Tamandua tetradactyla: one gene and its partner. The protein of the gene in region 1 interacts with the protein of each later gene in a biochemical or structural test. Links are inferred from orthologs where the notes say so. Each region holds a gene or a part of one and is shown in the gene's direction. Other genes may lie near its edges.

Region 1 (7,919 bases):
ATGTAAGTAGTGAATGTTCATTTTAGAAACATTAGAAAAATAGAGAAAATAATTTTGATTACACCAAAGCCACTCCCCCATCCTCCACCAAAGAAAACAAAAGACACTAGTGAAATTCTAACCAATAAAGACTGGGGAAAGGCAGTACTTATTTGGAAGCCAGCTCAGTGTTAAGGACCCAATAGGCCCTCCCTAAATATCACACACTGGTGAAAAAGAATCCTACCTCATCCCCAAAACGGCCACAGGTGATATTCTGGTGTCTTTCCCAATGCAAATATATATTATAAATGTAGATATGTAAATTTTTATGAAAATAGACTCTTACTGTACCTATTGTTTGGAAGCCTATTTTTTTCCACGCTTAACAATACACTGTACACATTACCATGTCTTCCCTAGGGCTCCCTATTGTTGCCAAGGGCTGCCCAGGATTCTGCTGCGTGATGGTCCATGATTTAAACTGGTCCCCGTTATTGAATCTGTGAGTTCTTTCCAAGCTTTCCATATCGTAAGCAGTGCTGCAAGTAATATCCTGGTATGTGTGTCTTTGGCTCCATTTTAGTGCACTTTTTTAAGAATAAATTTCTGGAATTTCTGGGTCAAAGAGTTCGTTTATGCTGGGGGTTTGGGCCTCATCTTGCTGATCTGCCTGTGTCATTTGTAGCTATTCCCACAAACAGGGCATGCTGCTTGCACTGAGCAAGAAGATTCCCGCGCTGGCCAGTGTGGGGGCCCACACGGGGGCTGGGGGGTGGGAGACAGCCCTGGAACCCCACAGTCTTCGGGGAGAAAGCATTGCCTTGTCGGTGCCTTGATTTGGACTTTCTCTTAGCCTCAAAACCGTGAGTAAATCAGTGAGGAAACAGTCTCAGGTTATTAACTCATATGCACAATGGCATTCAGCGGCAAGCCATGGAGCAGGATTCAGAGGAGACATCCAGAGCCCAGAGCTGCCTGGAGTTGGCCTGCTCAGTTAACATTACAAAATCCAGAGATGTTAAGAAACGATCTGGATTTCTAGATTATCTTAAAAAATCAGACTTGCCAACGGAAAGAGCAGCCAATGGCCAAAGCTGGCACAATTTGAATTTAAAAAAAACGAAACAGAATTGGAGTGTAATTCAAAATGCAAAATAAATATCTGTGGTCCTTACTGACATAAAAAATGATTGAAAAAAGAAATGGAAGAGAAGAAAAAAAAATTCCCCTGCAGAAGTGTTTCAAACAATTGATGTAGACGTTCCACCCTCAAGGAGATGGCATGTAATTTCCCACTTTCTCAAGCATAGACTGCACAAGTGACTTCCTTCCAAAGGGCATCATAAGAAAAAAGAGGTGGGGGGAGAGTAACTTTTCAGTGGAGGAACCTGGCAAATCCCACCTTAGCCAGGCGGTCAAGGTCAGCATCAGCTGGGCTAAGCCATGGTGATAGCAGGTATTCTTGAGAACAGCCCTTTGCCTCTGTGATCTGCCTCGTAAAACCCACAACCTCACTCTGATCATGAGAGACACACCAGACAAATCTCAACCGAGGGATATTCTACAATCCCCCTGCCCAGTGTTCCTCAGAATTGCCAAGGTCACCAAAACAAAGAAGTCTGCAAAATGATGCCACCGAGAGGAGTCCAGGAGGCAACACAACTAAATGTAAGGTGGTATCGGATGGCATCTTGCAACAGAAGAGGCACATTAGGGGAAACTAAGGAAATTGAAATAAAGAATGGACTTTAGTTAATAATAGTATAGCAATATTGGTTCACTAATTGTGAAAAATGTATCAGAGTAATGTAAGATGTCAATAATAGGACTAACTGGGTATGAGGCATATGGGAACTCTGTACTACTGTAATTGTTTTGTAGATCTAAAACTATTCTAAAATAAAATTTTATTAAACAAACAAACAAAAGGATCTGATGCACCGCGCCAAGCCTGAATTCCCACATCTCAGTAACTGGAGCTGAGCTGGGCAGCAGCTGCTCTCTCTGCCCCAGTCCCCACCCCTCCCTATCACCCTATACTGGGTCTCTCTCAGTGCTGTTCCCCACCTGGCCCCCTATATGCACCTGTGTTTAGGACCCTACTCCATGAGTTTAGGACCCTACTCTATGTGGCCAAGAATGAGAAACTGCCTGCCTTTCAGAGTGCAGGGCAGGCCCCCTCTTCCAGGAAGTCTTCACAGCCCTCAAGGGTCCCTTTGTCCCAGCTTCCAAGGTCCTCATGTTCAGTGGGCTCTGGGAAGCCCACACTTCTCTCCTCCATGGTCTGTCAGTTCCACCAGGCAGACAGCTTGACCTCCACATCCCTGTGCCCTCGGCGCCCAGGAGGGACCTCAAAGGTCTCCTGGGCCAGAGGCCCCTATACTGAGAAGTCCTGGTTACCCTGGGGAGGAGAATGGGGTAGAAGGAGCCACCTCCTGACCCTTGGCCCCTTTAGATACCTCAAGGCCCAGGATACAGCGGCCCAGCCTTGGTGTCCAGAGGAGAGCTGAATGTAAAGTTTGCCCCTGCGTGATTCGTTTTCCAGCTGTGTCCAAATTCCCTTCTCTCCCAGTTATTGTCAGGAACAGACCCCCGCCACCCTGGGGCCCCCTCAGCTCTCAGGGACCCTCTCAGCGTGCTGGGGCCAGCTCAGGCAGCCCCTCTCTTGGTTCTGGCCAGAACTGCCAGCCTGAGGGCCCAAGAGCCTCTGCACTCCTGAGTGAGCCAGCCTGGGATCATTTGCCTTCCTGGAGAGGGTGTGGGGGGAGCAGACCCCGCCTTTACAGGCTCTTAGCGTCAGGGCAGGCGCCCAGGACCCCCAGGAGGCTTCTCTGGTTGACCCCAACCCCATAAGCCGCCTCTCCCCCTCCGCTGAGGGTCCCCTCTCCCTGCACTAAGGGCTGAGTCAGTGATGCCCTTCCCCCAGTGAGCAGCCCCGTGGGGGGGGGGGAGGTGGAGGCCAGGACTAGATGGCTTCGAGGTCTCGGTCCCGGCTGCACCCTGCCACTGTATCCAGGGTGCAGAAGGGGTTTTGCCCACCCCTCATCCCTTTCTGGCCTGGGGCAACTAGAGACGGGAGAGAAGGAATCCAAAACGGTGGGTGATGAGAGAGCCACCACAGAAAGGGAGGCTGAGCCTGGGAGGCTGGGGGATGGGGGGCTGGAGGAGGAGCTTGGAGAGGGCCAGCATGTGTGGCGGGGCGCCCGGGCGCCAGGCTGCACTGCTGCTCTCAGCTGAGGAGTCCCGTGCCAGCTGGATGCAGGCGGGTGGGCACGGGCAGGGCTGCGTGCCAGATACACACAGAGCACCCTTTGAGGAGGTGGCAGCTGTGGGCCTGGTCCCCTCCCTGTCTGCTGTGGCCCTGCCTGCCCCCTCCAGCAAGTCCTGGACGACTGCTGGGCTAGGGACACTGCGGTATACATTTGGGGACCCCCTTTAAAGGGGGAGATCCCTGATCAATCAGAGCAGGGAGGAACCCTGGCTCATCAGTTCTAGAACCAGGGTCAGTGGTAGACCTCAATTTCCCCTTTTTAGCTCATCTTATACCCGGCCACCTGCTCCCTATCCCCCCACCCCCACCCCTGCCAATGCTGGTGGCTACTCTTAAGGAGCCTCCCCAGGATGGAACTAGGGGAGGACCAAGGCAGTCCTCCCTTGGGGAAGAAGCTGGAAAACCTTTTAAAATCCAGTGGACGACTAGCTAATGGTGAATTTTAAGGTCTAGGGAACCTCTGAGGAAGCCCCCTGCCACCTGTCTCTGCTTCCCCTGCTCAGTCATCTTGGACCTCCTTGCACTTGCACCCCTGGCAGACAAAACAGCTTGTGCCCCCCCTGCAGCCGAGTGTGACAGATTTCCCAGGGGCTGGGGCTCTCTGCCCACCCCTCAGCCAGCTCCTGCATGTCCTCCCTGGACACTGCCTGGCCCCCCAGGCCCCCGGTCTAGGAACTCATAGGCGCTCCCTCCCTCCCCTGCAGGGCATAACCTGCGGGTCTCCCAAAGCAGCAGCGACCATTTCCCTGGACCAGGGCTCGCTGGGCATTCAAGGGCACCCAGGAAGGGCCCCCATGGAGCAAGGACAGACGCCAGGTTCTGCCTTTCCGTAGCCGAGGGACCTCTGAGGAGCCTCAGAGTCTACAACATAACAAGGGAACAGCAAGGCCTGCCTGGCAGGGAGGTGGGGAGATGAGAGCGAACACAGGTCAGGTGCCTGTGCGGAGTTTAGCAGGTCCAGTGTTTGGATGCGGAACGGTGGAAGGAATTGGGGGTGTTTAACTTGGGGAAGGGAGGGCCCAGGTCTGCACACGTTCATCTTTCAGTGTCTGGAGGGCTGTGTGGGTGGCTCGTGGGCGGAGGTCCCAGGAGACAGATCTCGGATGGGCAAAGCTATTCCCGGGGGCAGGAGCTTCCCATGGCGAGCGTGGGGGTGCGGGTGGGGTGGGCGCAGCAGGGGACCCCGGGCAGCGCCGCTTAGGGACTGTACTGGGGATCTCGGGCCCCCTTTCAACGGGGAGTGGGGGCTTCTCGGAGCCCAGCTCTACTGATCTGCAGTTGCCTTCAGCCGGAACGAGAGCATCCCCTGTCTGATTCCAGACGCATAGTCTGCGAACCTGGTCAAAGTCACAGGGCAGGCGCCCCGCCCCCTGGGATGTGCAATGTGGAGAGTGGGGCTTTCGGCACCCAGAACCGGAGCGGCGAACAGGAGGTGGTGCTGTTGGAGAGGGCCCTGGAGGATGGGCAAGGGGCGGGGAGCCAGGGCGCTCTGAGCCGCGTTGGGCCGACGGAAAAATGCCAGGGGCCGGGGTCCTCGCCTTTAACGCGGTCCTCGGCGAAGGAGGCTGGAGGGGGAGGGGCGGCGCGGGCGGCGCATGCGCAGCGCAGGCTAGCGAGGCCGGACCGTCCGGCCCCCGGGAGCGCGCAGGAGCCGGCGGGGAGCCGGGAAAGCGCCGGGACTCCGCGCCGCGGGGGCGTCTGAGCCGTGCAGGCGGACCCGAGCCCCCAGCCTGCCGGCGCCGCTGCTCAAGCCGGTGCCCCGACTGGGGCCAAGATGTCCGTGCCGGTGAGTACCGACCGCCAGCCGGGACTCCGAGTCACCCCTGTCCCCGGCCGGGCCTGTGGACCTCGCGCCGCCCGCTGCAGGCCTAGTGCCGCGGGGTCCCCCGACAGGCGCTCGCGGGACCTGGGCCCCCACGGGCGGGGCACGGTTAGGCGGGGGCGTCTCCCCCAAGCCGGCGGCTTCTGTGCCCCTTCCTTCCACTATTCTCTCAGGAGGGCTGGGGTCTGCACTGTCTCCTTGGAGACCCCCTTTCCCGTCAGAATGGCCGGGCCTGTTGTGGGTCTGGGCTCCGCGCCCTTGGGAAATCCCGGGAACAACTGTCCCCCGCGGGGATCTGTGCTGCCCCCAGGAGTCCCCACCAGGATAGCCAGGCCTTGTGTGGAGGTGGGGGTGGGGTCCGTTCGCCTCTCCGAGACCCCCTACGGGACAGCTGGGCCGGGGGGTTGGGGAGATGTCCGTGCTCTCCCCCAGGAAAACGCCTGGGTGACAGCCGTACTGTCTTCCAGGGACCCACCGAGATGGTCAGGCCTGGGCCGGGGTGGTTACTTCTCCCCTTGGACCACTCCGCTCCCTCCGGGCTTGGCCGTTGGGGGTTCATGCTCCCCCACCCTTCCCCCAGGAAGGCTGCTGCACTCACTTTCCTGGGAAGTTTCCTGGGAGTCCCTGAACCCCGGGATGCAGGACCCAGTCAGTCTCTTGTTCCCTGTAGCCATGGGCGCTTCTCTTCCTGCCTGACAACCCGTTTTCCATGGCCTGGCTGGCCGGAGAGGTGGTCTCCAGTGAGAACTTTGGTGACCCTGGATGACCAGGCCTCAGGCCCTCGCCCCAACCCGCTTTACAGATGGACAGACTGAGGTGGGAGGCAGACCCAGGGCTGGCCTGAAGGGGTGCTGCTGCATGTTGGGGCTGGGGCCTCCAGCCATTGTTTCTCCTGGAGCTAGCGGCTTTTCTCTCACTCCCTAAGGGCAGTGGGCCAGAGCACCAGGTAGACCCTCGCCTTGTTTCTAGGGCTGCTCGCCTCCTGGGGAACCCCATCCTTAAGGTAGAGCAGGTAGTTGGGACTTTCTGGCAGGATAGATTGGCCTCTTAATTAACCACAATAGAGTGTGTGGAGATTATTGGATGTAAGTGCAAAGCATTGTTATTATGGAATTAAAGATCTCAGCTCCTGTCTGCCTCCAGGAGCAGTAATGCACAGTTACAGATGAAAAAATTAGGGCTTCCAGGCCGTGCTGATGTGAAAGCCCTACCCCCCATCTGTTCTGGTTCAGAGCGTAATTGCTTCATCTTTAGAAATGCCTGCCAAGCCCTTCTTCTCCCCTGCTCTGCTTTCTTACTGTGGGTCTCCCCTGGCCCAGGGTCTCAGGGGAGCTCCCCTTGCCCCTGGGCACTGGCCAGAGAGAGGAGGTGGATGACTTGAGCCTGCTGGAGGGCATTGGTGTCCAGGGAAGTGGGCAGGAATGTGACTCAGGGTAAATTGGGACCAGGACCATATCGAGCCTGGCTGGCCTCTGTTTGGGAGGCAGGAGTGGGACTTGGTTTCGTTGTTCACGGTCATTGCAGAGCATTGGACAGGACTCTGGCACCCAGACCCCTTGTCTTACAGAACTTTGGGAGTCCTCCTCGACTCTGTGCCTCAGAGGCCCCTTCAGAGAGGGGTGGGTTGGGAGGGCCAGGGTCCGCTTGTGACTTGGACAGACAAGCACCATTGTGGAGGCCAGCAGCTGTGGTTTACTCGCCCCACCCCCACCCCTTACTCCGCCCAGTTCCCACCCTCCCACCTGCAGCCACAACCTACAGGGGTGGGGGGTGGGGGGGTGGGCAAGGACTCACCATCTGCCCCCTGTGTGGCTGGACTGTCAGATCACCCTGGCTCTTTTCTTCAGACTTTGGGCAGTGTCTGAGCAGTGGGACCAGGAGAAGTTCGTTTATGGAGCAACCGTGAAATGTTCTGAAAATTGCTTTTTATGTGCTGAATTTGCCCCGGGGAGGCTTCCAGGCTGAGTCGCCTGCTCAGCTTTGTTTTCATAGCCATGATGGTGACTGCCCTTGTGGTGTCCACAGACACGTGTGGGTTTTAAGCACACCCGTTCATTTGGGCAGGCTTTTTCTGGATGGTACTGACGCAGGCAATTTGGACCACAGAAATTACAAGGTGCTTCAGAATGGGACAGGGAGGGAGGTGATGGCAGGGAGAGAAAAGGTTGGGAGGGGGCCAAGTTGACCCCCTGCCTGCTAGAACATGACGCTGTTATTTGAACCAGTTGGAATCTGAGGCCCAGAGAGGGGAAGGTGCCCCTGCTCAGTGCCCTATCTTCTGCCTGTTGCCTGCAGACTCACTTACTGGCTGCTGCCTGATTCTGGCTCCTCTCGGGATAGCTGCCTGACATCCTAGGTCTGTCTCTTCTCTCCAGGCAGGCAGGAAACATTTGAAAGGAAATGGCTATACCTCCCACCACCTTAGAACCCTGGCCAGCATTGGCTTGGAATCCTTGTGAGGAGTGGCAAAATGATGGCTGCCCCTGGCACTGTCAAGCTGCTTTCCCCTGGCACTGCAGAAACATCCCCTTGCTTCTCTTCCTGCCTCTTGTTTCCTGTCTGTGAAATGGATTTGGCCATTCCAGTCCCTGCTCCGCTCTTTTCTTATATGGGGGTTAGGCCCTTTCACACGTGAGAGGTCTTGAGCTAGTGGAGCACATCCTGAGTGCCTGGTGTTGGCCAAGTGCCTCCTGGGTTTAGGGAGAACGTGCGTCTTGCCAGGGTCACACTGGGAGGGAACCAAGTCTTGCAGAGTCCAAAGTCTCTGTGACTGTCATCCTGCGTGGCATCTCACAGGCTGTGGCCTGTGACTCTCAGCAGAGGCCAAGGCTACTGGAAGGCTGA
Region 2 (7,927 bases), on another chromosome or scaffold:
GGAATAAACATCAACTGAACCTATCCTGAGAAGCTATCAAGAAGTCAGGTTGCTCTGGAGATTCTCCAAATCTCTCCCATGGCCCCTTGGGTTATATCATGATATCTCCGTAGATCTCTGCATGCCTGCTTAATGCTTCTCTCTTAAGACTAACCAGTTTCTTTTTACTACTATATAGCTTCAGCTCTCACAAGGCTTCAGCCTGTAAGATCCCTAACTCTACTCAGTATACATTCAGCTTCTGCTGTTGTGGCTTAATGACGAATTCTATTTCAGTTTCTAAGTTCAGATTCTTAACAGTGAGAACTGATTGGTCCAGATCATCTTGCTGTACCAGGCCATAGCGTCGTAGCAAGTCTATATGGATTGGTTAACTTGGGCCAAGGGTCCAAATTGGCAGCTGTGGCTAAAGACAGGCAGGGTGATCAATTTTCCTGAGAAGAATGTTGTGGCCTAGGTAGACTATTCTGAAACTTAGCTTATCATATGCCATTTTAAAAACCTCTCAAACAAGATCTCTTTTTCCCTTTATTTGCCTATTTCCATGAATGATATTGCCATTCTCCCCATCACATGAACTGAAATTGTAATAATATTTTAATTAAACAGATTTAATTTTGTTGGAAAAATAATTCATGCACATAGTAAAATATTCAGAACATAAAAGGGTATACACACTGGTAATTGTCTCCATTCTTCCAAAGAGCCCCAAGGCCCCCCAGGGGCAACCACAGTTAACAGGTTTTTTAAAGTATCCTTCAGAAAAATTTTATGTCATGTTCAAGCATTTTAATCCACACTTTAATTTTACATAAATGGAAGAATACCATAAAACTATCTGTGCCTTGCTTTTCTCATATAACAAGTAGCTCTTGGGCCCTAATCCATATCAATATATGTAGATCTACTACAGTTTTTCTTTTTAACGGCATCACAAAACTTCATTGTATATATGTGATTTTTATCCAGTGCTTTTTCGATAGGAATGTTATTTCCAGTTTTGCCCTTACAAATAAGGCTGCAATAAGTACCTATGTTTGCACACACCTGATCTATAGGGTAAATTCTGATGAGAAATTTTGAGGTCAAAGCATGAATTAATAATTTTGATACATTTATTTCCAAGATGCCCTCCAAAGGTGTTGTGACAATTATTCTCATCTTCTGTGATGAGCATGCCCATTTTCTCCAACTTTCAAAAGTTTCGTGTTCTGCCAAACACTGTGATCTCTGCCAATTTGGTAATTTCAGTAACTTTAAATTTGATCTACTTTCTCTTAGTTACCTGGTTTTGTGAATGCTTCCAAAATGTCTCTCCTCTTCATCTGCCTTTGTATTTGTACTACTACAACTTTAGTTTCACTTTTGCTGCTTCATGTATTGACTCCTGATAGCTCATTCTATACTTTTCCATTATTAATTCCCAATTTAACAATAAATGATGCCAAATTAATATTTTACTAACTTGCATAATTTTACTTATATCCTTAGAAACCTTTGGTGGCTCCTAATGCCTACAGAGTTAAGTCCAAATCCCTTAACCAGGCATTCAATGCTTTTCAGAGTCCAGTCCATCTACTTTGGAACCTCTGTCCCCACACAAAAGTTCTGCTTCAAAATTTTGCTTTGCTGTCTTCATGCTTTTTGCCCCATCACTGCCCTTATTTGGACTTTTTCCTCCCTGGTCAAGCCTAATTTCACTTATCCTTCATGGTTAATCCTTCATCGTTAAACTCTTGGTTACTTTAAGTCATTCTCTGACAACCTAGTCCACAGTTCTCTCTCCTCAGACTTCTTGCTGCTCTCATGGTCTGTAGCATTCATTTGACATTTATTAACCTAGAGTAACCAAGAGTTTATTGTCTTTTCTATCATCTGAATTAAGATATTAACTCCTTAGGAGAAGGAGCCATCCCTAAAACATTTTTTGTCTCCCACATACACAGTATAATTCTTCCCATATTGAGGTGCTCAAAAAAAATACCTGTCTGTTAAAACAAGTCCTAAGTATATTAAACAGGAGAATAAACTAGCTAGATACCAAAGAAGTACACTGCTAATTCTTTCAAAAAAAGTAGAAATCCAAGAAGGTACTTCACATTTGTTTTCCCTAATCTACAGCAGATGGCAAAAGTGTCTGCTGAGAATTCACGAAACACTCAGGTGTTACTAGAGAGAGAAACTTTCCAATAAGAGGAAAATAAAAACAAAGGAAAAAAAATTAAGAAAAAACTCTAGTCAACGGACATTGGGAACTTCTCCTGGAGCTCGTGTGCTGTATTTGCTAAACAAGGATCACTGATGTTGTCTCCAATGCATCCAACAATGAGCTATCCACACCAAGACTCTGGTGAAGTATTGCATTGTGCTACTGACAGCACACTGTTAAGGTAGTGATATATGAGTCCCTCTATGCACTAACCCTGGGCTACAAAAAGGGGCCAAGCTGTCTTTTGAGGGGGAAGTGAGTTTAAACAAAAAGTGATCAAAGAAAATTCAGAAGAAATATGATGAAAGGAAAAAGATCAGCAGTGTTCTGTAGGGGCACTTCCAGCTGAAGAAGCCTCTTGCATGCACTGCTTCCAGGCCAGGCTGGTGTGGTGGAGCAGATGGCTTTGTGCTGGAAAGCAAGGAGCTGGAGTTCTATTTGAGGAAAATCAAAGTCTGGAAAGGCAAATAAATTCTCCTCTCTCCCATCCTACCTTATGTAATAAAGGTGTTTATTGTTCTTAAAACAACAACAAAAAAACTAGCCAAAATAGGACTCATGACCTCTGACAAGCAACACTTCTCATCAGACTGTCACTAGACTGATAAACAACTTCTTCAGCATAACTAGTCCTTTATCTATCTGGTTTGTACAGTCTTTGACATATCAAAAGTGGAGGCACGCTTGCTGATCTGCCTGCTTTTTTGTCATTTCTCTCTAAGTTCTGGGGGGGAGAAAAGAGAGTATCTACACTGAGTTATAATGTAAGATGATCAAGCTAGATCCTGACCTTTACCCACACCTGTGAAATCGAGTCTCAGTAATTGGTTGAAATAAAACACTCCAGATCCTTGTTTCAAATAATATCTACCTTAGAAATTAAACTACTTCTGTAAGTGATTTTTTTTTTTTTGGGGGGGGTGCATACTTCAGGAATCGAACCCGGGTCCCTCGCATGGAAGGTAGGCATTCTAACCACTAAAATACCCGTGCACCCTAAGTGAATTTTTAAAATACAAAACTATATCTTTTTTACATGCATATAAATGCATGAGAAGAGATTTGGAAGAGCACACAACTTCTAAGTGCATACTTCTGGGGAGGGGTTGCATTAGTTGATTTTTTTTTTAAAGATAAAAATTTTTCTTTAACAAAAGGAAACTGTATCTTATTACTCTCACTTATCTTCTTCAAAGAGTTTCTCATTAAATTCCATGATGCCTCTAAACATTCATTTGGGAAAAATGACCTGCCACTGTTATTTCTTATTTAACCCAATTTTCTGAGTAATCCGATCTGTAAAGAATGTTGTTTGAGGGTTTAAATGACCAAAATACGTCCACGGATCTAATCCTTCACTTTTGTCACATTATCACAAGTTCGCATTGCTTAGAGGCAATATGGTATCGTAATGAAAGCAAAAGGACTTGAGTTCTAGTGTTATAGCTCTGGTAAGAACATGCTGGAGGCCCCTTAGTAAATCACTTTATTTGGTGAGTTAGACCAGAATGGATAACCTCTGGTTACTAGAATTTTAAAGACGTACAAAGACTTATAAAGTCTATTCTATGGAGAAAGTCTCTCATGCAGTTCTAAAATGCTGTCAATTTAAAAAGACGACAGGTTCCTTTAAACTTAGTAAACAGTGAGCCCCTACGACATGCATGGTATACATTAGGACGCATTACGATTCTCAGGCGCTCACTTGCCAGAGCTTAGGTGGATTTGTGAAGAGAAAATCCTTTCAATCAAGAAGCGTTTCGCTTCTCTTAGCCGTAAGAATCCTCCAAAGTCTTAGGTTGTTAAGGCCTTATAACAGTGAAGGCAACATACCTGCTGTGAACGTGGAAATGGCATTACTACAGTTCCCAGCATGCCTCTTTCCACCCCCGCCCCTGGAAGCCAGCAGGCCCGGACTTAAAACGGTGGCGGAGCCAGCGTCGAAGCATTCTTGTAGTAATCTGCTTCCCCCCGCCCTCTGCCCTGAGTAAGCGGTGAGATCGCAAGCTCTAATTAACATCATACTCCAACCCATGAGACTTAGTCCTAAGAAGAGTTCCCTCCTATAGGGTAACCAACACTCTTTTAAGGTTTTCTCAGACCTGGGCGCTACCGGGACGGGGCCACGCCCCGGAAGTGGAGTCGGGTCGCTCACCAGATCGCCGAAGTTCCTTCCAGCCACTCCAAGCCGAGCCGCGGCGCTGGGCGGGCCTGGGGGCGTGGCCTTGGAGGTGGGGCGAGCGGGGGCGTAGCAGCGCGGCGCGGCGCTTGGGGCGGAGCCGCGGTGCGGGGCCGCGCGTTTGGGTGGCGGCGGGGGCGCGCCGTGGGGTAGAGTCGGCTGTCGCTGCTAGTGGTAGTGGTAGTGGTGGTGGTGGTGGTGCGGGGGGAGGAGAAACTGGGGACGGGGGGAGTAGGGCGAGCGCAGAGCGGTGTTCCTGAGGCGGTGGCGGCGTCTCCGGAGGAGGAGGAGGGCGGGGAAGGAGGATGGAGCAAGCTGGGGGCTGGGGCTGGCGCTAGCCGCAGCACCTCGGCTCGTTACTGTGGGAAAGCGGCGACTGCTCCTGGAAGTTGTGTCGGGAGCCCGGCCGGGTGCCGCCGCTGCGTCCCCTAGGGCGGTGGGGAGGAGGAGCGGCGGGGATTGGCGGGGGTCGGGAGGGAGGAGACGCGCAGCGGGAGCGAGCTGGGGAAGACGGAGCGGGCTCTGCGCCGGGCGGGCGGGCGGCGGCGGGGGGGCCAGCGACCGCAGCCAGGGGGACGCGGGAGGATGGAGCAAGTGGAGATCCTGAGGAAATTCATCCAGAGGGTCCAGGCCATGAAGAGTCCGGACCACAATGGGGAGGACAACTTCGCCCGGGACTTCATGGTGAGTCTCTCACCTCGCTGTCGGCTCCTCTCGAGGCCACTGAAGCCCACCGCAGCCTCGCCGGGCCGGCCCGAGCCGCCAGCGCTTTGTGTGCTGCTGTGAGGAGAGGGGCAGAGGGGGCGCGCACCAACCCCAGGGGCCGTCTTGGCCGGGAGCCCGGCGGGAGGTGATACTGCCTCCGCCCCTAGGTCTCCTTTCCCCCTCTCCCGCGTTCGCGGCCCCTTCCGCGGGCTTCTGAGGCGCGAAGGGAGCGGCCGCTGGGCCGAGTCCTAACCCGGCACCGTTTCCTGCGACCACCTATTGTTTCTCGGGCCTGGAGCCGGAGGCGAGTGAGGTGCTGACCGAGAGGACTTGCCTTTCCACACCTCCCCACCTAGCCTGCCCTTCCCAGGAGGGTCGAGGCAGAGTGTCGGGCTGTGTCCGGGGTGGGGAACCGATCCGGCTGATGGAGGTACCAGATTGTTGAGGTCGGCGTTAACTCGTGGGGTCATTTTGCCCAAGCAAGTCTCAGAGGTGGGCAAGGTAGGACTTCTGCCTTGTCTGGGTTCGCAGTTAATGTCCAACGCTTGCAAAAAGGTTTTCCATAAGGAAATCGGGGTTCTTATAATTTTCCATTTATCCCGGTCCCATCTCTCCTCTCCTGAGACCCAAGTTTGAGGTGGTCTTAGGATCCGTTTGACTTTAGGTTGGGGGGGGGGAGTGTGTGCGTGTGTGTGGGGGTATCCTGAAGGAAGCCTACTTCGGACACCCTAGGGGATATTGCCAAAGGCGGAGGGGATGTGACTATCACTTCCTATCCGGGGTGGGGGTGGGGAGCTTGGGAACAATAGTTCTGGCGGGGCGGAGGCGACTATCTGGGCTGAAGCCCTGAACTGGGAGATAACCTTCTCAGCCCCCCGCCCCTTTCCGCCTGCTGCTCCTGCGGGCGGGCTTATGAGGTGAGGGTTAAAGTCTTGTTCGTGAACTTGCTCTACGATACTTCGCTGTGAGGGGAGGCAGATCCGAAGGCGTGGGACCAGAAGTCGACTTCCTATACTACATCCCCCCACCCTCCACCTTTTATTTTTCTGCTGGACAATGTTCCCTCTAGGGTTGTTTCCCGGTTTTGGAGGCGGTGGTTGTGGCTATTGCTCCTACGGATATTGCGCAAGACTGGGGCGTTGGAAACCCTGGAGGTCTGGGGATGGAAAAGGAAGTGGGACTTTGGGAAGTGGTTGCTTCTTAGCCTTGGCGGGGGTTGGGGATGGGAAATAAGCCGGGGAAAATTTAGCCTCTGGATGAGGTACACCTCCGAGAATAATCCTTTAACTCCGAAATTCGATTATAAAAAAGATACGGAGCTCAGGTGTAGAAAAATGAATGGGCAGCTGACATTGGCTGGTTTTTGTTTCAAAGTACAGTTGTTTTCAAGGTGCAGGTGAAGTGACATTTAGTACTGAAATACTTTATAACATTTTAAAAAGACTTTAGTCTAGAAGCTTTAGCGTTAAAATTGTTCAATTTATAAAATAGATCCTTGACCTTACATAGTATTATAATATTGTTGAGCTTTGTGATTCCTACTTCTCCAGGTAAGTAGTAGAGGACAGGAATAAGGTTTTGTTAGTATCTTTTGAAGACTGAAAGACAGAAATTAAATAATTTGATTATGTGTTATTTGAGACATTTTCTCTTGCTATGTAACCTAAATATTTTTGAAATATTACTTTTGATCTGAAGGGGGTAAAGAAAGGAGTATTTTCTCCCCTAACTCATGAGAATTTTTATTTGTTGATATATTTCAGGTGTCATTTTCAGTAATTGGTTGGTGTTCCCTTTTTATTATTCTCTAGCAAAAATAGAAGAAAATATTTACTTGGAATATTTAAAACATTGTAAACTTAAGTCTTGGAAGACTAGATGGTATAGACCTTGACTGGCCACTTGTTTGCATTCTAGCCATATTGTTTTCCCTGGATGCTCTATCCTGTCAGAAAAGAGCATTGTTTGGTTTGATGATGCAGGCCAGGACAGGTGTGCAGACTGTGAGCTACTGTACAGGGGACTTAGCCTTAGGATTCGTGCTTTAGGGATGAATCAGGAATTCTTATTGGAGATTTCATTCCTTGAGGATTAAATAAGTTTCCTTTTTATTCCATAATACCTAGAAATAGCTAGGTGATTCTGCATTTGAGATTTGATAACTGAGGCTATTCTTACACAGTGTTGTGTGTGTGTGTGTGTGTGTGTGTGTGTGTTGGGGGGGAATTACCTGACTTATAGTTTAAGCAATAAGCTATAATTAAGGCTGTACATAGTGCCATTTTTTCCTTTGACTAAAAAGCTGGAGAAAGACATCTCCCTACCTCTGTCCCTTTGTCATGGAAACAGAATAGAGGGTAGGGCTCATATTCTGTGGTGTTATTCTAAATTCTAATGCAAATCAGAAATTGTTTTTAAATTTACTTTGAATATTGAAAACATCTTAAACTGAAGTCTTATTATGGTTATGGAAGAATAAATGCTATAGACCTTTAGCATTTTAGAACTGAAAGAGGTCATAGAGGTTATCTAGCTATTACAACCCCGTTCCATTATAATATTGCTTATTATTTCAGATTTACAAATTATAGAATAACAATTAGTTATGTCTTATGCTTAGAAAAGTAGCATACCAGCTCTGTCTGACTACCCAGTCTTTCTATAGTCTACCCGACTACCTCTGATAATGTTTTTAGTGCTTCCATGTGTCAATACTACATATACCATTATATGTTATTCATTACCTAATATTTTGGTAAATTTTTTTATTAATGCAACTGCTTTGTAAAAATTTTAAATGGAGTATAATATTTCATCTGATGATTTATTATACC

What was found. The genes of interacting proteins can lie anywhere in the genome.
Region 2: the proteins of BCAR1 (region 1) and PTPN12 form a complex in vitro, tested with the Homo sapiens proteins (3 studies listed by BioGRID and IntAct, with this or other methods). The link is inferred for Tamandua tetradactyla from reciprocal best matches to the Homo sapiens genes BCAR1 and PTPN12.

The regions. Positions count from the first base shown.
Region 1 is NC_135342.1:69,922,334-69,930,252, reverse strand, and holds the start of BCAR1 (breast cancer anti-estrogen resistance protein 1), read left to right. Parts: upstream 1-4,905; 5' UTR 4,906-5,027; coding exon 5,028-5,039; intron 5,040-7,919. UniProt on the Homo sapiens protein: Docking protein which plays a central coordinating role for tyrosine kinase-based signaling related to cell adhesion. Implicated in induction of cell migration and cell branching. Involved in the BCAR3-mediated inhibition of TGFB signaling.
Region 2 is NC_135327.1:140,471,622-140,479,548, reverse strand, and holds the start of PTPN12 (tyrosine-protein phosphatase non-receptor type 12), read left to right. Parts: upstream 1-4,924; 5' UTR 4,925-4,973; coding exon 4,974-5,072; intron 5,073-5,462; exon of another isoform or gene 5,463-5,594; intron 5,595-7,927. UniProt on the Homo sapiens protein: Dephosphorylates a range of proteins, and thereby regulates cellular signaling cascades. Dephosphorylates cellular tyrosine kinases, such as ERBB2 and PTK2B/PYK2, and thereby regulates signaling via ERBB2 and PTK2B/PYK2.